Caenorhabditis elegans: one gene and its partners. The protein of the gene in region 3 interacts with the protein of the main gene of each other region in a pairwise test. Each region holds a gene or a part of one and is shown on either strand. Other genes may lie near its edges. The genes, in order: ddr-2, cwc-15 and cct-5.

Region 1 (7,814 bases), on a different chromosome or scaffold from region 3:
GATGTACATGGATAAAAATTTGAATCTCAATAGAATCTCATGATATCTCCGAAAACGGACACAACGAATTGTGGGGCAGAAGACCTTGTAATAAATCTCGAATAACGCGTTTTTGTATTGTATTCTATTCAAATCGTGTCCCGTCTTTCTTCCCCCCACCGTTGCTCGTATAGTGACAGTATGAATGGTGTGTCAAAATGGTGTGTCAAAAGTCATAGCTAGATTTCTATTGTTCTCTTCGCAAGGTTCTTTTTGTGATTCACATATCTCAGATATTTGGGGCTAATGGCGTTAAGCGCATAAATATAACGGTGCGCTTTCCAAAGAGTGCCGATACCATAATTAGCGGTCATTCTGAATGAAAAGGACGAACCTCTAGCTCAAAATCGTCTTTATAAGATGCCCATGCGTTTAGCGAAGGTCGCCAGTACTGAATTTTGAATGCGGTCGCATACTCCATTCCACGTCCGTCGTCAAATCGTCCCTGGGTCTCCACAGAAGTTATTACTGAAAAAATTGGGCTTTTTGTTAGAATTTTCTAGATTCTGCTCGAAACCTGTATCCACGGAAAACGAAATCTGCAACCATTCTTTGCTGAGAGAGTTTATTTGATTCTTCGGACACCAGGCACCACTTCCAGATTCTTGATGAGCTCTGAAAAAATTGAATTGGAATATTAAAATATAAAATTCATTCCCATGTGAAAACAATACATAACGATAAATGTTTAAATGTATTAAATTTGAGACTTGTAGGTAGACAAAAAACATTCCTATGGTGCTTCCAATCTTGTAATAAAACTTTTCAAAAAATATTGGAAATTTCATTTCAAGTCAAAAAGCGGTGAAAACTCAGTTTTCACCCATTTTTTGGACATCGTAAATCAAGAAAAAAATATGTTCCATTCAGTTTTATGTTTAATTTTATTTGGAAAATTCCTATCTCAAGACAGTAGGGGTTTATGCATGCGACAGTATTCACAATTAGAGGTTTTTAAAATAACCGTTTTTTACCGCTTTTTGACTGAAAATAAAAATATTCTACACAAAAAATAAGTTATTTGGATATTTTAGAAGATTAGGAATATTTCTCTACTGACCGTAGTTCACCTTTAAGTGATAAAAAGTATGTTATTTTATATTTATACTATTGTATATTGCAATTTCTCGTTGTGTGGCTCTCAATTTCCATTCCATCTTCCTTCTCCTCTCATTCTCCAGATGAGCTCCTAATCAAGATTTTATCTACGCAATGCAACACATTGCAATTAGGAAGTGAAGCAATGGAAAGCCCCCAGCACCGCATGCGGCCTGTCAAAACAATCAAACTAGATAAATCGCTTGTTGAGGCGTTAACGTATGCTACTGATGAAGCATCACGTTCCCCCGTCAGAAGCTTGTCCAAATTAGATGTGCCATGCCAATGCGCTCTCAATTTCAATTTCAATGAGTTTGGCGAACGCGTGAACTTGCAAAGAGCAGTAATCCCCCCTCTAACCATCTTGTAAAGCCGCCTTTGGGAACGCGTGAATTCTCCTGGGTGGGGTCACAACACTATACAAAACGATGTGAAAGCGGATACCGTAATTAGGGAAGAGACTAATTATTAGGCTAACACAATAGCTCTCTTCCTGTTGACAGTCAGCTCGCTATAATTAAGCAAGATGCCAACTAATTTTTTGTGTAGTGTATTTCAAATTTGAACGGTCCCCACAATTCAAATAACTCGTGAGAAAATGCTAAAAGGATTGGCAGAGAGAAAGTAATTCAAATTTTCTATGTTTCTATCAAGTCCGTGGAAATTTGCATTAAAGTTTCAAGGGATTCAAACGTAGTACGAATTTCAAATGAGTAGTTCCCAAACCACTTACCGAGCATGTTGAGGTCCAGTGCTTTGCAAGTCGAAACTCGAAGACGCCGAGATTTGCTCATCACGAATCTTTCGATTTGACATTCCCAATTGGTGACTGCATTCTCCTGAAACATAATTTATTAATTGGAAAAGAGTTGAAAGAGTTTAAGAGCACCCTATCATATTTCAGCCGCCTTTATTTTTTGGTTTAGTGTACTTATCATTGTATGCTTTGTCATGTAGCCCCGTTTGTTGACATTATGTATTCTCATCCTTTTTCCGACAATGCCTAATCTGATATGCGGTCAACAAGGCTACCGAGAGATGTGCCTAAAAAGAGCAAATAGGACCCGGGTCTGCTGGCATCCTCAATTGAATTTTTTGAGCTCACCAAATCAAACCAATGCTTTCTAATCATATGAGTTGCCGCGTACAACCACAATTTTCGCATGTTTCACGTCGAATTGAAAATCTAAATCTATTTCCAAAAAGGCGAAGACCTCCGCAGAATAATATTTTACGATTATCTTTGTTGCCAGCGGATAATTCCGGATAATTATACCTGTCTTTTACAACCCAAACAGCAGCACAATTTTTATGGTCACATTATGGATTTGCAAGAATTGAGTACCTGACGTCTGTGCGTCAAGACATAAATTAGCAATAAAAATGGAGATTGTGCACACGACCTTCTCGCGCACCAGGTTTATGTTGTAGGACACCACAAGCGATGATTTACAACCAGTAACTAGCAACACTCTCGAGACGTTTTATCATTCTGGTAGTGTAAGATAAACAATTGTTTTGTTATTTGTGAGGTTGAAAGGTGAGAAATACGATGACAAATGTTGTTGATATCCTCTTCTCCGAGTAGTGCTCTAATGGACCAGTGTTGTGACCTTTCGCACGTTCTCCAGGTCAGTTTCCATAGAAATTGCGCATGGCTACTAATCTCTGTGATGTGCGCCGCCATGTCAAGTTGCGCAATCTCGTTAATCATGCAAACGATAACAAAACGGATTACGATAATGCAACTGTCTTCTTCTTTTTTGGGTATTGGAAGAAAACACACACCTAATAAAAAACCTAAGAAATCGAAACAAAAAGCAAAAGCTTTTAGTTGAATGAGTCAGGTAGGTGTGCAAAATGTCAACCTGGCCAATCAAGTTGGCCACGCAATACATACAATTAAGTTTTTTTTACAGCGACATTTTCGGCTCTTTTTTATTTGATAGGCTCGACCAGATACTCGCCAGCAAGTTGTCAAAGAGTGTTTGGTATAAACTGTAAGCAATCGATCATTGTGGCACTTTGTGAGCAGGAACCTCTCGTCGGCATCTTTGTGCATTGCAACAGTTGCGCATCTCCGGAAGCGAGGGGAACCGGCCCGACAAAACTGTCACCCCCATCCGCTTTTGATTATATATTATCCCCCAAAATCTTACAAAACATTGTGGAGAAGCTGGCAGATTTCTGTGCATCTTGTTTTCAAAAACGAGAGAAATGATAAGGACGACTAAAAGAACAATGTTATGATGTGTTATTTAGCAATTGAACGACAAGCAGCTGTCATAGGAAAGACCCAAATGATGAGTTTTCGGGACCACAAGAAATTGGTTTTCGTTTTTCAACGACATTTTTTCCCACTAGTCTACTAACAAATCGAATCATCGTCATCATACACCCCTCTCAAAATATCAAAAATCTAGTGAAAGTAGCCCTCGGAGCAGCAACACTGTGTTGTGATTTATACGCATGTGAGTTGTGAGCATCGAAAATGAAAGGCAATAAATTGAATACTATATTCTACCTCCTGTCACCCAACACCCACACACACAAACACTTCTTTGTCACATTGCGCAATGCAAAGCTATTCAGATTTTACGCTCAATGCTCAAGAATACGGATCGATTGCGATTACGGCAATTACACATGCACCTGCCCCTAATCGGTGTCATCAATTTTCTGAAGAGGTTTAGTGACTTTTTGACTATTGCGAGGGGTCGAGATCTGGTTGATATTTGAAATAGCATTATTTTTATGCATTATTTTTATCTCGAGATTTTGATCATATTGTCATAGAAACAACCCGGCCTATAATTCATCACTATCCACTTGTGACCATCTTTATGTCACTGCAAGTGTCCGATTCAAAACTAACCCACTCCTTTTATGCCTTTTGATATCATCTCCTGCCGCTGACTATTCACAATTTCGCGCAAACTGATGGTATCTCAAAAAAAAGTTAGGTTGTCCCCAAAACGTTTTTTTCCGTTTGTCGGTTTCACCTTCTTAACTGCATACCCTTTTCATCATCATGTCGTTTCCTTTTGCCTCCCATAAATTCCGGCGTGTAAGCCACCAAAACGTGATGAGAGCTAATGGGCGAGGAGGAGAAGAGAAAAAAGTGTACTAGTTTAGGAGTTTAGAGTGCAACTGGTGACAAAAATATGATGCATTTCTAACAATCGTCCCCTCCTCTTTTCTTGGCCACTTTCCCAAAACGGACACTTTTTTGCAATATTGCCATATTTAGAAGAAGGAAAGTCAATTGACCGTACACTTACTTAATTCCAATGCGACTACTGTGTTGCTATGAAATGTGACACCGAATAGATACAGCAGCAACTTCATCCTGACATAGATGAGCGTCGGAGACTCTGAAAAAAGCCAAAAAAGCATATGAGGAAATTGAAAAAAGTGGTCAAAGTCTAGAAGGAACAACAACGTACGAAATTCAATTTGACAGGCCCAAAATGAAATAGAGAAGTGTGAAGAGGGCCTGGGGGCAGATGCTCAAATATCCGCTCTTTTGCGGGAAGCTATTCAGGAAGAGCGCGTTATTATACTCATCTCGGCGGCTTTCATATTTATATTAGAATATATGGAGTGAGAAGAAGAAAAAAGTTGGAATTAACTAGTAAGTTGCAAAAGCCGAAAGCAACGAGGTTGGTGGGTGTGAAAGTTGGAAAAGGAGAAGAGCAACAAAAAAAAATTGGAAGAAATGAAACATGGAAAACGGATAGATGGGGTCAATAGTTGAAGACCAAGAACAGATAAGCTTGTCAAGATGCGCGTGAAAAAAAAAATGCGAGAGGAAGCTAGAAAAATGTAGTTGGTGGTCTTGCTCTTTTTCTGGCGTGTTGTGCCTCCTTTTTCAATTTGCACACACCCTCTCATCAATTACCACTTCACTCAATTTCAATTTCAAGCTGCACTATATGTTAATTTAATGGATCGTACCGTGGTGGTTGATGGGAGCTGTTGCTCCTGACTATTCCCAGAAATTCAAAAGAGCAATTTATACCACCAATGACACTTTCGGTACTCTAAAAAATGGAGAAATGAAAAAGCGAACGTTGTACTCGCGGTAGATGAGGGTGTGAAGTAATGAGAAAACCAATTGGGCTTCTACGATGAATAGGTAGAGAATAGGTGTGAGGACCAACCGCAATATGAGTTTTTGGCAGATGACTTCTCTAGTAACACCGTGACTCAGAGCAAAGAAAATGGAAAAAAATTGGGAGAAGAAAAGAAACAAGTTTTGTAAGAAAGATATATATTAAAAATCATGTATAGAGTGAAGGCTGCTAAGAGATTGCATCAAGGAGAGGGACACATAGGAAACGTAAACCATATGTGTGGAAGAAAGAGAGTACTATGTACATGTGCTTCATTGCATTGCACATTAACCCATCAAGAAGCTGGAGAAAAAAGTTCGAAAGAAGACGATTCAGAAGCATTGAACTCACTCAAACTGTACAAAGCTATGGTTTTTGCACCAAGGAAAAGTGGGTGGCCAGAAAGTGGTGGGGGGGGGAAGAGGGCAGCCTTCGCGCAAGCATAGCAATGAAGAATAGAGGGGCGGAGTCTTGGCGGGAGGGGTGGCGGTCTGTGTGGATCGGCGGTGGTGGTACCTCATCAGAAGCGAAAAGACAGGTGTTGAAGAGGAAGTAGCGAATGTTCTGTAAATTGAACAGTGTCTTGAAAGTTTTATCGCTTTTCAATGAGAACATCCCTGCCCAAGCATCCAAGACAGATGTTCTACGATCAGAAGAAATGGGTATTAAAAAATTGGAGGAGGACGACGAAAAATTAACTGCCTGAGGCAGGTTCAGTGGGAATTAGTACCTCTGAGAAGTATAGCATTTAAAAAACGAAAAACGAAAATATAAGATCCCTAGTGGGAACAAGATTCTTAGGAAGTCATTTTTAAATAGGAATCGTAAATTTGAAAAAGAGGTCTAGAATTTCTAAATTCTAAAATCAAATATTTTATCCGAAGATAGTGCCAAAATTACCAAATTCCATAATAAAACTTTTCAAAGCAATTTTTAAACATTTTTAATGACAGTCAAAAAGTGGCAATTATTGAGTTTTGCCTCTTTAAAAAAATACAGTACTGAAGTTTCAACAAAAAAATTAAATTCATTATAATGTAAGTACACTTAAAAATTCGAAAAACAACATTTTTTTTGATTCACGGCGTTCATAAAAAATGACCAAAACTAAACAATTATCACTTTTTTCAAACAAAATAACAATTTTTTAAGAAACTTCTTACTATGACTTTTTTCAGTATTTTTCTCCGGTGACACTTTTCCGGCATTTTAAATTTTTTTTACAACTAAATCAATAATGAAAATTGTGAGAAAACATTTCCTAACTAACAAAACTAAAAAATATACAGTTTCTCCAATCTATCTAAACTTTAAAAAAAAGTTATATCAGTTTTCTAATAGTGCACTTTTTTTGTGAAAATGCTCATTTTACATGAGTCATTGTTAGATTTAATGATTTTCTGATTTCACAAACAGGGCAGACAAAAAAAATTGATCAAAGTTTTCGTTCGACTCTCTGTTCAATTCCTTGCAGTAGCAGTCAATCACCACTGTTGACTCGTACCACCCGCCGGAAATTCTGACAAATCGACCGTTAAAGACCATTGAAATTGCGAACATACGAAACTGAACAGACACTAACCGAATAACATATCACGCTAGAAGTACGTTCATTTAAAAACGACCTTCCAGGAAGGCTGTGTGTAATTAGAGACAAAGAGTGGCCACGTTGAATGCGCGTCTCGAACGAAGAACGCAATGAGCATGACCATGGTAATGATTTCGCACTTTTATGAGACTATTTGAGAATTCGCACAAAAAGTGGTGAAACAGAAAGACGTAATGTAGGTGAGAAGGTGAAAAAGGTGAAAAGGCGAGAAATAAATGTGCGTGTGAGGTAGTGTAATGTGAAAAACGGAACGAGATCATGGCTACCGGAACAGGCAACCAAAAAAAAAGCGCCGACAGAATTCCTTGAACTTTAAATCTTCAAAGGCTTTTCTTTGTTTTCACGCTTTCGGCTTTTATTTTTCTATTCCTTTTATATGAAAATGTAACGCCGTGGTTCCTGGAAAGTTATGTAACACTAATGGAGGTCAAATGTTTATGAAAGAAATTATGGCGTGTTCTACAAATGCAAACAGTTCCTTTGTTACTTTCACCGCGTTTTGATAACAATTTCAAGTACACAGTAATAATGGGTTATAATTTGTAGTTGAAAAACAAACAGGAATACTTGCAACAACTGGGGGAAATGGCTTGTTTATTCGACTCATCAATCTTCTTTCATTTCCAGCAGAAAAGCTTAGAACAAAAAGAAAAAAATATACTCTTCAAGTGTGTGCCCTGCGCCGTGAGCAATCGATCAGCCGTTCTTCTGTTCTTTAACACCCGCCCGATCAGATCATTAATTAAAACGGCAGAACAACGAAAAAAAAGGGACTGGCGGCTGCTTGCGACCATTGCAAAAGCTTGACTCACAACCTCTTGAGATACTCCAGGAGCTCCAGGGTGAGCAGCTGATTCTTGAGCCGCTGGGTTTTCCAGTGCAATTTAGTGGAATTTGGCAAGACGAAAAGGAGGTAATAAAACTTTTGGCGGAGAGCAATAAATCAGTGGGTC
Region 2 (6,561 bases), on a different chromosome or scaffold from region 3:
TATTTTCTGTGGTAAAAATTTGCATGTTTCTCCTCGAGGACTACACGAGCTGCGTAAATCGACACTTGGAGGTCTACACAAAATATTAGGGTGTTTACGACAGTACGAAATCGTGGCAAGACCTATTTCTTCTCAACTCTTACCTATTTGCCTCTACGCCATCCTCATGCTCTTCATTAGGCGATGAATCAATAGCCATGACGACTACAATTGCTCCGAGAGCAATGAGCACCGAATTGAACACAAAAGTGTACTGATAACCTAGTGGAAGCACCATCGCCGTGAAAATCGATCCGAAAATGTTGCCGACGGGCTGACACGCGGCCCAGACACCCATCACAAATCCGCGATTTCCTTTTCCGAACCAGTTGGCCATAATCGCGATTTCACTGGGCCATCCGCAGGCCTGAACAAGCCCAAACGCCACGTAGGTCATGATATAGTAGGGCGCATGGTAGAAATTGAACCATTTTGGGATGGCGCCGAAGAGAGTGAGCTGAAAATTGAATTTTAAACGAATTAGGAATTTAGAAGCCTAGCAGTTTGTACTCACCGTAACCGCAGAGCCAACCATTCCAGCTGCGACGACAAGCTTCGGATTCAGCCGATCGCCGAGCCAACCCCAAAAGAAGAGAGCCGCCGCGTAGGCCGCCATGAAAATCGCGTCGAGTGATCCCAAAAAGTGCTTGGCGTCGGCTTCATTGGTGAATAGTGGCGCGTGGCCGGACGAGTTGCTCAGCCAATCCGCTTTTATCGACGATTTCACTCCGGATAATGCTTTGCGACTCGCGTGGTACAGGCCGTAACTGAAATATTAAAAATTAAGGAAATTTTGAGAATTTGAGTATTTTAACTGTGCATAATTACGTATTGAGCGTGTAAAACAAGAATGGTTGGTGTTTTACGAAAAAAGTTGTTTTTTCTTTGAAGGCGAATGGATTTATTCGGCTGGGTCTCGCCAGGAAAATGACAACAGTATTTAATCTCGTTTTTTTCAATTTTGCGGCGGTCGTTTTTCTTATTTATCTATGAAATATTTGCTTTTCTCAGCAATTAAATAAAAAAATCAATTACATTGCTTGAAACCTGTTAAAATTGATGAAAACGAATTAAGGAGACAACCGGCGCTGGAAAACGAAAAAATGGTACCATAAACGTTCTTCTCGTGGCGAGACCCATCCGAATAAGCCCCTGTGCCTTTAAGTGGTTACGATTTTATTTTTATTGACTTTCTAGGATTTTTTCGAAGTTTTTCATGTTAAAATGCAAATATTTTTGTGGAAAAATTGTATTTTTGATACGAAAATCATCCGGTTTACTTGAAAATTACTTTAGAAATGTGAAAATCTTACCTGACAAACGTCACCACGAACACCATCACCTTCCGTGACGACATCGTCTGTACCATTTTGAAAAAAACTTGATTAATATTAAAATTGAGACTGCTCCGTATATATTGATAAGGTTGATAACTACTATTGATAAGGAAAAAGGACAAAAGTACTTGAAAAGTCGATACGGCCTACGAGCTCTGAAAGGGTACACACTACAAAATATCACGTTTATTGTTTTGTCGAGCCAGTGGCATATAATTGAGTGAAAATTGATGGAAAACAGTGAAAAATGGATGAATCATTAGACAAAAATCAATTATTTAATGTATTTGTCCATGAATTTCTTGTGGAATTCCGATCTGATAGCATCGTTGATGAATGTGACCTCCTTCTTTCTCTCCTCGACTCCTTTTGCACAATTCTTGAAGACCACGTCATCATCCCATCGTCGTTTCACAGTGAAATCGCCTCCAGAAGTGGAGGATCCGGCTGGAGTATCGTTGAGCAGTGGATTTCCGGCTAGAATATTCTCCATTCTTTGCTTCTCCTCCTTCTCCTTAATTTCCTCGTCTCTCGCCGCCTTCTCTTCTGCTCGTTCTTTCTTGATCTTCTCCAGCTCCGCCATCAACGCTGCAGTGTCATCCTCATCGGAGTCATCGTCGTCTGACGAATTCAGCTCGTCCACTGCTTCATCTGCATCCACAGACGCCGCTGACTCGGCAGCAATTTGATCCATTCGTTGGCGTTTCGAATGGCTTGAAGACGAAGAAGCAGAGTCACGAGCACGCTTCTCACGGATTGCGTTTCGCTCCTTGTCTTCCAATTCACGACGGAGATCCTGAAAATTATTTTATATTGCTTGAAAATCATTGATTTTTCGTTTACCTTCTTTCTCAAATCGGCTTCAGTCTCCTGTCCGGTCTGTCTGTACTTCATTTTGGTGTGAGATGGCATATCCTTCGACGAGTATTGATTCGAGAGCTTCGACAGATCTCCTTCACCACGAGCGGTTCCTCCGCGAGCTGGGTGAAAAGTTGGACGATGGGCCGTGGTCATTTTGCTGAAAAAATTACAATTTGTGAACGTTATTTCGAGAGAACAGAGGAAATATAAGATACTTTGTGCGAAAAGTAATAAATATGGAACGAAAATAAAATTTATGTTTGTTTAACTTGTTTGAATTTGAAATTTAAACTTTTTTTCCGGATCGGAACAAGAAATTGCTCGGAAGTATACAATTTTTCAATTTGAACGTAAAATAATCGTTTTTCTATTGCAATTTTTCATACAAACATGTGCAAGTTTAGTAATTTACATGAAAAACCATTAAAAAAGTAGAAAAAAACATTATTCTTATTTAAATCTATCGGAATTCGAAATTAAACCTTTGTCCCGATCTTCAGTGCTTTTAGCCTCAAAATTAACAATTTTGACACAGATTCTTCAGTAAAAAGTTTGCATAAACGATGTTTCACTTTTCAATTAACGAAAAAACAAGTAGAAAATGATAGAAAACGACGAGAAACTTTAAAAACATCGGGAAAAATTTATAAATTGATTTTCGCCAAATGGCCTAGCGGCGTCACTTAGTCCGCGGCCACGCGGCCACCACCACATTTCGGCGCGAGTTTTGAATATGAGTTTTCGCCAATTTGGTTTCGGGTGGAAATCGAATTTTAAACACACTTTCAGGGAATTTTCAAAAGAGAAACAAATAAAAAACGTTTATCTAACAAATTTTTAATAAAAATTGATTATTTATGAAGTCCTACTCAACACAACTGTCAAATTCTGTGATGCTCCTTCTCGGCGAATCAAACGAATAATCCATCGGCGATATTCTGCATTGAAAAAACATATTACTATTCTGAAAACTGAAAAATTGATATTGCTCGTGAAATATAGCACTAACGGTGCTAGGCAATTAGTTAAAGAAGACGAGACCGTAGTTGTCATAAAAATTTTCCAATCCAGCCTGTTGCCAGGCAAAAACGAATAACCGGAAACATACCAAACACCAAAAAACACCATAACAATTCCCTGAATTATCACCTAAAACAAGGAATTTGAATTTATTTTGCAAGAGCTCGTTTACAGCGCACCTGCATCGCAAAATTGATATCGCGTTGTTTATTCTCTTTACTTTGCCCTTTAAATATCGATTTTCGACAAGTGATAAGAATGATAAACGTGGAAATATCCAGAATTGTGATAATAAAGATAATCACGAACTGAACAGATAGGCTTAACAGTAGAAGTTTTGCTCCACATGTCTGGAAATGCTCAATCAAAATCACGCTCGGGGTCCTGTCACGCTTCAGCTACCGTAACCAATTTTTTGCCGTGTCGAGACCATTTGCACCAAGTACTGTAGCCGAAAAGTTTCGCTCGTGGCAAGACCCCGAAATCTCACCTCATTCCGCTGAGCTTCCATGAAAACCCACCCAAATTGGAAAAACGGGAAGGAACAATTATAAAAGAAGAAAAAATACGAATAAATTACGGGGGGAAGTGTCCAATTTATGATGATGTAAGTGAGTACGTAATTTTTGCTGAAAAACGTAATCTCCTCAGGCGACCTACGCCTACCGTGAGCCTACCAAGCAGGCAGGTAGGCATCCTATAAACATACCTAAAGATTTTTCTGTATCCAAATGGCATACTTGAAGCACAAAACCTGTTGAAAGCCATCAGAAAGTGGGTGCCCAGCATAATTGGCAAAATTGTCAGGGATATATTTCCGAAAATTGCAGAATTACTGACAATTAATATTGTGTTTCTAGAATGTTTCAATACGGTTGGAGATTATTTAGTGCGCAAAAAAAGTATAAACTAACAAAAAAATTCCTACGAAAAAGAAGAAAAATGTGATGGAAGTTGCCGCAAACTGGGAAAATGTTTCATTTAAAATTAGGGCTCCAAATACGGTACCCTTCATGTTCTTGATATTATATGCGCCGGTGACAACGACAGATTGAACAGAGACTCCGATGAAGCCGACCTGAAAATTAGAAATTTGTTAACTTTCTGCCAAAATTTGAGAATTTTTAGTCGAAGTTTGGAAATTTTCTGAAAATCTTTGGAAGATACGTATCTGCAGAACTTTGACAATGTTCTGCCAAACGTTTAAAATTGTTGCCAAACCTTGAAAAATGTTTGCCAAATTTTGGAAATGTTCTATAGAACTTTGTCTATTTGTTGGCAAACTTAAGAAACTTTTGTCCAGACTTTGACTATTTTCTCAGTCAAACTTTAACAATTTCCGATAAAACTTTGGAAATTTTCAACCAAAGTTTGGACATTTCTGTCAAACTTTAAAATGTTTTATTTCAAGTATTGGCAATTTTCTGTTAAATTTTGGATAATCCCTTTAGAACTTTGACTACCTTCTGTTACTTCTTGCAAAATATCGTCCCAGGCTTTGGAAAAACTTAGACATTTTTTACCGAACTTCAAAAAATTTCTGCCCAGAATTGAATCTATAAAAGTGAGATTTTGAAATTCCTCGAAAGGTACGTGACGCCACTGACTACAAACTACGAATGCTACACATTAGTAGCATAAGCTCTTATCTCTTTATTCATTGTACTGATAATAACTACTTTCAATATACTTCCTAAAAAGATTGTTCTTTAGAAAATGCCAAAAAAAGTTGCTCACCAAACTAATAATCATTCCGGCTTTAGTGTCATCTGGCCCAAACACATAATCTTCGTCGGCTTCAGTGAAATATGAGTCGTTTCGAAATGTTGTTCTGAAACATTTAAAAGCTAAAGGTTCACATTTTCAAAGGAAAAAAGACACTGCTGGAAATATTGCCATCTGAAGAACATCAAAATCTATGAAGGAACTTCCAAACTTCAAACATGCAATATTGTTTTAACATTTCCAAAAAGCCCAACTTTTCTCAAAATTGGCAAATTACCAAAACTTTGATTGAATTTTTTTTTAATTTTCAAATGTTTTTGGAGTATTCAGTTTTCATATTCATTAATATTAGACTAAAAAACAAAATTATTAAAACTTGATCAACTTACACCATAATCCAGTTTCGTGACGCTTCGCCTTGAAATACTTCCGTTGACTACCCAAAAATTGATTTTTTAACATGATTTTTTTGTGCTGTCAAGCAGGTGTTTTTGAAGTTTCTCAAAATAATTATAGACTTCTGGCTACAGACTCCGCCCTTTTTGAATTATGAGACTGCAATCCCGACATTACAGCTGTCGCTAACAATTAGTAGGTGTTCAAAAAGTTTGAGCTCGGAGAGAAGAGTGGTTTGATCTTATGTATAGACAAGTTTTTTGTTTTATTGAATAAATTAGTTGGAATGCCAAAAAAAAATAATTGAAAAATTTATACAGGATCTTTCAGAAAGAAATACGAGCAAATTACGGGGGAAGTGTCCAATTTATAATGACGTTAGTGAGCGAATAATATTTAGATATAATCCATATGTTTTCAACACCTATAGGTGCAGAAAAAGGGTTCGAGAGAATGTACTATACGACAGTTTGGGGTTCAGTTGGAGTTATTAGAACAGGAAGATTATGTATTATGAGCGGAAACCACTGTCACGATTCTCTTCTGAGCTGTCGGGACGTTGAAATTACGGAAAAGCCATCTGCGAAACTCTTTGTTGAAGGCGAAGACGACTACACTGAAAATAAATTATGAGGACCAAACTGAAAACTTGGCACATTTTTTCGATTCTTGCTGAAGTTTTCTCCTCTTCGAGCTTGTACGCAGCTAAAATGCCACCTTCACATCTCTGTGGACGCACCAAGCCTTGAGGAAAACCTACGCCTATACTGCAGCCGGTAGATTTCCAGACAACGTAGGCGTAGGTTGCCTTCCAGACAAGTTTTTCCTCTAGATCGGAGTCTAACTCCCCTTATGACGTGGAAGAGCATTGAATCAAAAATGTGTGACTAAAAGAATCCAGGTGATTTTACATTAGACTGGGATGCTTATCAGAGTTGGAATAGTGCAATTCTCACCGCTGTTGAGGATTTTTACATAGATTTGAATTAAGGAAATTTAACAGTGGTGAATTTTACGTTCGAAAACGCCTTTTTGCATCTCCGAACGCTAGTGAAGCATAATTTTCAGCACTTACGGATCAAAAACATGTAGCAGATTGGATGAGAACGAAGTTGTAAAGAAGAACTTCCAGCGGTCGTCGTTTCCCGGGAGGATCGCGTGACCCATATCATACCATGCACCA
Region 3 (7,895 bases):
AAAAGCATACGGAGTCTTCTTCCCAACTGATATTGCGTCTCCATAGTCTATCAAGTACCATTGATCCCGATTCTGATAGCTCAACGCTATATTCGTGGGCTTGACATCACGATGGACAAGCTGGCGACGGTGCATGAACTGAAAATATTTGATTCATAAATTTGATTCAATGTGAAAAGTATTCAGAAAGCTTACCTTCAAAGCCATAAAGATCTCCTGAGCAATATGAAATGCTGATTGAACACAGAAAGTGCCACCTCCCATCTGTTCTCGACACTTTTCTAAATTGACGTCAAAGATGGAAGTTACTGAAAATTAAATATTTTAGAACATTTAGTTAAAAATATTAATAAATCCCAACCATAAAATGGAACTCCTAGAATCTTTCCTTGATGTAGAATTGGTGGAACGCGTGGAGGTGGATCATTTCCTTGACCCCATAGTGTTTTCAGGACTGTTATCTCACGCTTAAATTAAAGAAATGTTCTATAACTGAAACCTATTGAGTTCAAAATTTACAGAAAGACGATAGACAATTTGATGGCTTGACAATTGCCTCAGAGCAGTTTTCATAATGAATCTTGAATTTCCAACCGAGACCACGTCGTTGCTGAAATTCAGAACTTAGAAATCAATTTCCAAACAAGAAAAACTTACTCGACAGCTGACTCATTTTGAACCATGTAAATTGCTCCAAAACGTCCCTCGTCGAACTTGGTCAAGATTTTGAGACGAGTTGTTGCCTTCTTATCATTATCGTCAAGTCTGAAAATTCATTGATATTTAGGCATATGGGTAGGCAGGCATGAACTGGTACGCAGGCAAGAATGAGCTAGGCAGGTTGGTAGGCATGAGGTAGGCCCTTCGGTGAGCAAACGTAAACACACAGGCAGCCATGGTGTATACACGAAGGTGGACCCGCAGGCCCGTTGGTAGGCATGAACTAGGCATTTAATAGATGCCTTCTAACCATAGAGTAGGCACACGGGTAGCCATAAAGTAGACGTCTAGGTAGGAATAAAGTAATTATGTAGGCATGGATGCCTTACGTAGGCATGCATAAGGTAGACACGCAGTTAGGCTTGATAAAGGCACAGGTAGGCACTTTGCGAGGCAACTCTTATTCCACTAACTTCTCAGCAATGACCACATGATCCGTCGATCTCAATTCAGCACGTGTCTTGAGGTAAGTGTTCAATGTTTTCACCGTCTCAATTGTGACTTTTGGATCGACATACATCTCTCGCCATTCGGCTTCCAGCACTTTCCGGGCAAAGTTCGGAGGATCTTCCGGTTTTCGGAACAGAGATCCCGCCATGCGATACTGAAAATGAGTACATAAATATCAAATTATAACCGAAAAAGTAGGCATAAAGGCGACCTACGCCTGCCTCATGGCTGCCACTTTCATCAAGCATTTGGAAGTAGGAAAGTATAATTCTGGGCATAGTTTGCTCTCTGCAACACCTTTTCCGAGTACGGTAGCTTCCCAGGTCCGCTAACACCATCAAGCATAACTTTACAGCATGCCTAAATAGGCATGTATTAGGCTCCATTTGCCGGCAAATTGCAGAAACACCGCAAAATGCCGTAGTTCTCGTGGTTTTTGCGTATTTTCGAAGGTACAGTAACCCTGAAACTGTATGATGCGCGATACTCCAATGCAACAGTCTGCCGAACGTGTAATAGTATCCAAAAAAGTTCAGAAATCCGGAATGTATACCTTCTTATCGATATTTGCAGCATCAACTGCTAATTTTGACTTGACTTTCTCGAGCTGTCTCTGACTTTCACCCGATTCTTCAGATTCTTCAGAAGTTGAAGAATCTCGTGCCTCTTTCTTCTTCTTTCTCTCCTTTTGCTTCTTTTTATCCTTCTTGTTCTTCTTTTCAAGACTATTCTTCTTCTGAGTCGATTTTTCTTTTTTCTTCTTATCCGCTTTCTTTTTCCGTTTATCGATTTTTTTAATTAAGCGATCCTGAACACCGGTATTCTCAGATATTCCTCAAGCCTTTTGATCTTACCATTCGTTTTTCTTATACTTCTCGAACGCTGGTTTTTGAAGCAAACACCAACTCGGACCACCGTAAAATTGAAACTGAATTTTATTTGTTTTTTTTTCAAAACCTTCCCCCCTTATCTCCACATTCAATCTATTTAGCACTCACGCTTTCAATACTTTCAATTAAAAAAGGCGAAAATTATTTGTTAAATAAATAAAATTTATTCTCGCTATAGTGTTTAAACTTTAATTTAAATTTAACTATTTAAATTTGACTATTTAAATAATTTCAGACCCAATTCTTTCCCTTCACTGTTCAATTTAAATCGAGAATAGTGGCGCCGAATTTCTCTGCGACTACGGTCAAAAATTGCGGACTTGCCGCGTACACCATGACGCGCAATTGCACATGTGACATTTTTCTAGAAGATTTTCAATTTTTTTCGTCAAAAAACGTTCATTTCACCTCAGTTTTTTTAAGTTGGCTGATGAAATTATATCCAGAAATTTAAAATTCAAACCTATTTCCAGTTTCTGTCCGCTCTGCACTCAGATTTAGCATTTTAGGTCGATTTTCAGTGTTCTTGGTATCATTGCATTTTAAAATTCTTCGAGAAGATCCCGAATAACCGAACAGCTGCCAATGTTGCTATTCCAATTTTCTTTCGTTCATTTTATTCATTCCTCGAGAATATTCTGCGGGTTTGATATCGAGAACATTGTTTCGAAATGCTGAATTTCGTTTCTTTTTCTTATTTTTGAAAATCAATTCTCTTTCAACAACTTATACTTAAATAATTTTCTCTTAATTAAAATTTTTAACATGCTAATATTTTCAGTGTCTGTCAAGACGGAACTTGGATAAGAAAATGGCGCAGTCATCTGCGCAACTACTGTTCGATGAGAGCGGGCAACCGTTCATCGTTATGCGTGAGCAGGAGAACCAGAAGCGTATCACCGGAGTTGAAGCTGTGAAAGTATGTAATAATTATTTTTTTAACCGGAACATTTAGTTTCTAAATGTTATGTTTTCATGTTTGACAAGTCCTGAAGTTTGTTCTTAAAATTAACTTCATTATTTCAGAGTCATATTCTTGCCGCTCGTGCTGTGGCCAACACTCTTCGCACATCTCTCGGTCCACGTGGACTCGACAAGATGCTCGTTTCTCCAGACGGCGATGTCACCATCACCAACGACGGAGCCACTATCATGGAGAAAATGGATGTGCAACATCACGTTGCCAAGCTTATGGTTGAGCTCTCCAAGTCTCAAGATCACGAAATTGGAGACGGAACCACTGGTGTCGTTGGTGCGTTTTTTTTTTTGGCAGAATTCAGCGCGCACCTCGTAAAATTAGATAGCTTAAACTTATTATGATTATCATGTGAGAGTTGAATATATTTTAGTTTAGAAAACCTTTCCTAATATCAAGTAAATTCCTAGCGAAATTCTTTCCTCTGGTGATTCTCTATGAACATTTTTCGATTCATGTCTAGAAAATGTCCACATTTCTCCCTTTTCTTCGTCGTAACTAAACCGTGTTTGCTTTCCGATTTTTCCTTTTTTGGTCGCTGTCCTTCATTTTCTTCTGCTGTGTAGTTTCGTCTGCAGCATAGTTTAAAATTATTTCGGTTTAACGTTTGAAATTCACCTCAACTACGTAAACCATAATCTTGATAAACTTCGGAATAGCTTTGATAGTTGTAACAAGATTTTCATTTTAAAAAAGCAAAGAGTTGATGTTATTGTCTGAGCTTGTGGATACAGCCGGCAAATCGAAATTTTGATTGCAGGATTTTTTGTAAACGTCACCAGCAGCTGCATTTTAAAATGCCATTGAGAAGCAAATTCGTGAGCATTTAGAGTAAAAGAACTGAAATGTTCATTGATTTTTTCATAAAATGACCGTATTTTTATGATGACTATGAGAAGCGCACCTATTTGTTGACGTCATAAACCCGGAATAAGTCTGAATTTCGAGACAATCAGTCTGAGTCACTCGGCAAAATTGGTTATCGATAATTTTTCGTGCTGGTTATAAAAACGAACTCTGTACACATGAAATTCGAAGTGAAACGTGTTTCATCTGCAATCTTTTCTTTATCAGTATCACACATTAAATCGAAATACTTTCTATCGAAAATGTATATTTTGTTGTCACCCTCTGGTCATTCATGATAATTAATTTAAAAAAAAAAGAACCCTTAGCCGTTCCTTTAAAAGTTTGAAATGTTTGATCTATGAGAAAGTGCGCCTGCTCGTTGTCGATCGTTCTAACTAAACAATCCATTTGCTCTCCTTTTTCGCTGTGCCCGACGCTCCGACAAAATAAAAAACGAAAAGATTGCTCATTTTTCTGATGGTGTGAGCACACAAAAGCCAACAGTTGAATGGGAGGTCTGTCGATTCTCCATGTTCTTTGATTCTTCATTGTTTCTATCTGCACCTTTCTATGACGAAGAAATACACGATAAGCTATCTTTCTTTCATTTTTTCAAGTGAATGTTGACCTCCAGACCTTGGAGTCTTAACAATTCTCCGTTTGCACCATTTTTCTTACGTAACCATATGTTTGCGAAAAACGTGGGCAAATATGGTATCGTATGAATTGCATCGTTAAAAATTCCAGTTCTTATCATATTGTGTTTCTTTTTTGATAACGATTGATGTCGACCCGTCGATTTAGAGCGTCTTTATGGATTTTTGATATATTTTTTGTGTGAAATTTTGTCACTTCAAAGTTTGAATTGCCATAAAAAATTTATTTCGCAAAATTATGCGTCGGTGGAGAATTTCTAGTGTTTCTTATTCCAAAAATTGTGAGCCCTCATGCTTGAGCCACTTATGTCTTTCATAATTTTGATGCAATGTCGCTGTCCGATGTCGTCCAGCATTTTTCCTTCCATTTTTTTCCCGTTTCCTTCGATAAATAATTGAGTGGTTGCTGTGGGCGCGCGCTCCTGCGCGCTAACACTCATTCTCTCACAGCGTCTCTTTTTTCCTCTCCATTTTCTATTCCCTTATTTTATGTCCCATAACAAGTGTTTCGTTTTCCGTTGAGTCGTAAGAGACAGAAGAGACGATAATTAGATTGGTGTGACCGACATGCAAGTGTGCACGCTTCATCGCTCTCTCCATCTGAGCAACATTTTCCAGAAGAGAAACCGAGTCATTTTTGATGTGAGATGCTTAAATGCAAGACTGGTCAAATTCTCTCTTCACTCTATATCTTTGAATTTATGATTTGATGGAAAGAGATTGGTTATTCATAAGATTGTCAAGCTCATGTTTTTCCAGTGCTTTTGGATTATTTAGGCTTCTTTTTCCGAAAAATCTTTCCATAACGTTAATTTTTTCTAAGAGGTTTCAAAATTTTTTGAGGTAGTCAAACTTTGTTGACAGTGTCTAGTTTCGCGTTAAATTCCATCGAAATCAAGATATGTCCAAATAAATTAGGTGTTTGATTCTTTAGAAAATCTAATTTCTAGGTTGATGTTTGTGATATCATGTAATTCTAAGTTGGGGAGCGATATATAGTTTCGCTGGAAAAAAATAACCAAGCAGATTAGAAAATTTTCAGAAAATAGTGAAAATCACGAGGTCATTTGTTTTTTTTTTCTTATTGTTCTTCTGGTTCTGATCGTTGTCGCCTCTCCCTCTTTCAATCCATCATGCGGCGCCGATTGACAATTCTCAATTGTGTTTGTCACAACAAAAATTCAATTGTCGATTTTCCTTTTTTGCCTCTCCCCAACCTGAGGATCAAACGGTTGCTGAAAAGGTCGTCAGGGGCGACTGGTTTTTTCCCACATGTTTTACTCGTGTCATCATCAGATTATGCCCTCACTTGGCCTCGTTTTTCCGCGTAGAATCGGCAGAAAATCGATCGAATTAATAGAATCACGATTTTTTCTCTTCATTTTGTGTTTATCTATTTCTTCAGTAATTTATGATTTTATAATTTGGTTTCGGAAGTTACGGAAACAAAAATTCCGTTTTTTCCTGTCTCCGGTAAAATTTTACTCTTTCCCCTCAAAATGGCCTTCCAGGCTCTAAAGTATCTAATTTCCTGTGCTTTGAAAGGTGGGAAATGAGTAAAGGTCACATGCTAAAATGAAGTGGAGGGTAGCAATTCATTATTTTATACATTTTCTCTTTCCATGATACATTCGCTCTGCCCTCTTAGGCCACTTTGATCAGTCCCTCCCTCACGTTTAAAGTCAGCTGAATATGCCGCTTTTTGCCTCCTTTTCCTGCTACTCTCCGTTACTCGCGTTTTTCCTAGCTTCTCACATCGATTCTGGTCTCCAACACGAGCTCCACGCCACTGAGCTATCTTTTTTTGTGCTATGTGTCTCTTTTTTCTTTCTTTTTTTTCTTGCTCGCTGCTTCTTCTCATCTTGCCGTTATTGCCACTCTTCCTCTCTTTCTCTCACTTTTCAGTTACCAACCGATTTCGTCAGACACTCTGATTCTCTAACTAATCTATTCGGTCAGCACACTGTCTAAAGTTTGCAATGCTCTCCGGTTAACAAACTTTTAAGAACTTTTGCTCTCTGCTCCAAAATGACAAATAATTAAAGTTCATTTATTTAAATTTACTATACTTTGTGTTTTATCCCCAAGCTTGGAGAATAAATTTCAAACTTAATTCACATGACTGACATTTTTGAAAGTTTAATCTCCGAATTAAGTATAGGCTTCATTACAAATTGAAAACTTTGTGATTTTCAAAGATTAAAAGTGTAGAAATATATCAATGTTTGCAGTAAATGCATATCTTCCACATTTGAGCTCGAAAATAATATTAATTTTGTTCTTCAGATAAAAATTTCTAGTATTTTTAGCCAGAAGAGTCATCAAAAAGTCATTGACCGAGCAGAGTGCTTGCTCGACGAAAGGCTCCTTTATTCATTTCAATTTTCTTCCTCCATCCACAATTGTCATCTGTAAAGCAAAATGACGTCGTCCATAAGAAAAATTATATTTTTTGCATATTTCCTATTTTACCTTGTGACACAGAATTCGTTTTTCAATGAATTTCAAAGGAGAAGCGCGTCGAACACAAATGTCTGTTACTTTTCTATCGAAAATGTCAATATTGAGTATTTTCTATGGTTTATGCTTCTTAGAAACGTTTTTTCTCGAAACGACTTGAGAAACTATTTTAGAGCACACGGTGTCAATGTTGCCAATAAGAAATATATCAGTGTTACTCATAAATATTTCCAAAAAGTCACAACCGTCTCCATCCTAGTTCTTTTTCATTTTCTGTCACTGACGACGTCGTCAACGATGATAGATGGAGAGAGAGAGAGGCGGAAAAGTGTGTCAACCGCTTTTTTGCTCTTTTTCTTTTAGATGCTAACACATACACAAATTGCTCACGGATCCTTCAAGTTTTTTTCCCGCATTTCCGCCCTTTTTGTGTGTCTGGGAGAGTTTCTCAACAGGGGGGTTTCACCTTGAATGCGTCGAATATTTATTGAAAGCCGAAATTATAATATTGCGAAATCAGTCTTATTTTCCTGGTTTCCTTCCTAAACGTGGTGATGAAGAGACAGACAAAATCCGATATTCTCGTTCTCCGTTGCGTCCCCATGGACGGATTTGTTTTTGATAGTGGAGTAACGAAAAAGAGGAGTTTTATGTCTATATTTTTCAGTTTTTGAGTAGTCTGCTCACAATAAATAACTAAAGAATAAAGTTCTCATTTTTATTCAAAAAAAGTATATTAATCATTTTCTCACTGAGGCAAGTGTTTATAATAAAAACTTGTAACATAAAAATCAATAAAAGCCAACGTTTTCTTGTCTTTCTTCGTTTGATTTTTTGAGATGATATCACTTTTTTGTTTCTCTCTTCCACCTGCTTTTCACGGCGTGTATCAAT

The links.
Region 1: the proteins of cct-5 (region 3) and ddr-2 interact in a two-hybrid assay, tested with the Caenorhabditis elegans proteins (one large-scale study listed by BioGRID).
Region 2: the proteins of cct-5 (region 3) and cwc-15 interact in a two-hybrid assay, tested with the Caenorhabditis elegans proteins (one large-scale study listed by BioGRID).

Annotation. Positions count from the first base shown.
Region 1 is NC_003284.9:3,312,018-3,319,831, reverse strand, and holds the start of ddr-2 (Discoidin domain-containing receptor tyrosine kinase B), read right to left. Parts: upstream 4,519-7,814; 5' UTR 4,486-4,518; coding exon 4,419-4,485; intron 4,379-4,418; exon of another isoform or gene 4,099-4,378; intron 2,777-4,098; exon of another isoform or gene 1,977-2,776; coding exon 1,871-1,976; intron 1,549-1,870; exon of another isoform or gene 1,229-1,548; intron 655-1,228; coding exon 557-654; intron 508-556; coding exon 374-507; intron 1-373. UniProt on the Caenorhabditis elegans protein: Tyrosine-protein kinase receptor which, together with ddr-1, is involved in axon guidance to establish the tracts for the ventral and dorsal nerve cords during nervous system development.
Region 2 is NC_003283.11:16,019,184-16,025,744, reverse strand, and holds cwc-15 (Spliceosome-associated protein CWC15 homolog), read right to left. Parts: upstream 2,395-6,561; 5' UTR 2,391-2,394; coding exon 2,220-2,390; intron 2,173-2,219; coding exon 1,651-2,172; 3' UTR 1,552-1,650; downstream 1-1,551. Other genes in the region: T10C6.6 (Major facilitator superfamily (MFS) profile domain-containing protein), read right to left, coding at 144-496, 554-806, 1,353-1,408; srx-44 (7TM GPCR serpentine receptor class x (Srx) domain-containing protein), read right to left, coding at 3,093-3,201, 3,247-3,386, 3,437-3,607, 3,748-3,886, 3,967-4,113, 4,172-4,335, 4,995-5,088, 5,372-5,376; srx-43 (Serpentine receptor class X-43), read right to left, coding at 5,883-5,994, 6,454-6,561. UniProt on the Caenorhabditis elegans protein: Component of a spliceosomal complex that is required for activating pre-mRNA splicing.
Region 3 is NC_003281.10:4,503,061-4,510,955, reverse strand, and holds the start of cct-5 (T-complex protein 1 subunit epsilon), read left to right. Parts: upstream 1-2,841; 5' UTR 2,842-2,871; coding exon 2,872-2,979; intron 2,980-3,086; coding exon 3,087-3,312; intron 3,313-7,895. Other genes in the region: F25F2.1 (Protein kinase domain-containing protein), read right to left, coding at 11-138, 196-308, 362-467, 520-610, 658-765, 1,134-1,324, 1,724-1,978, 2,025-2,027.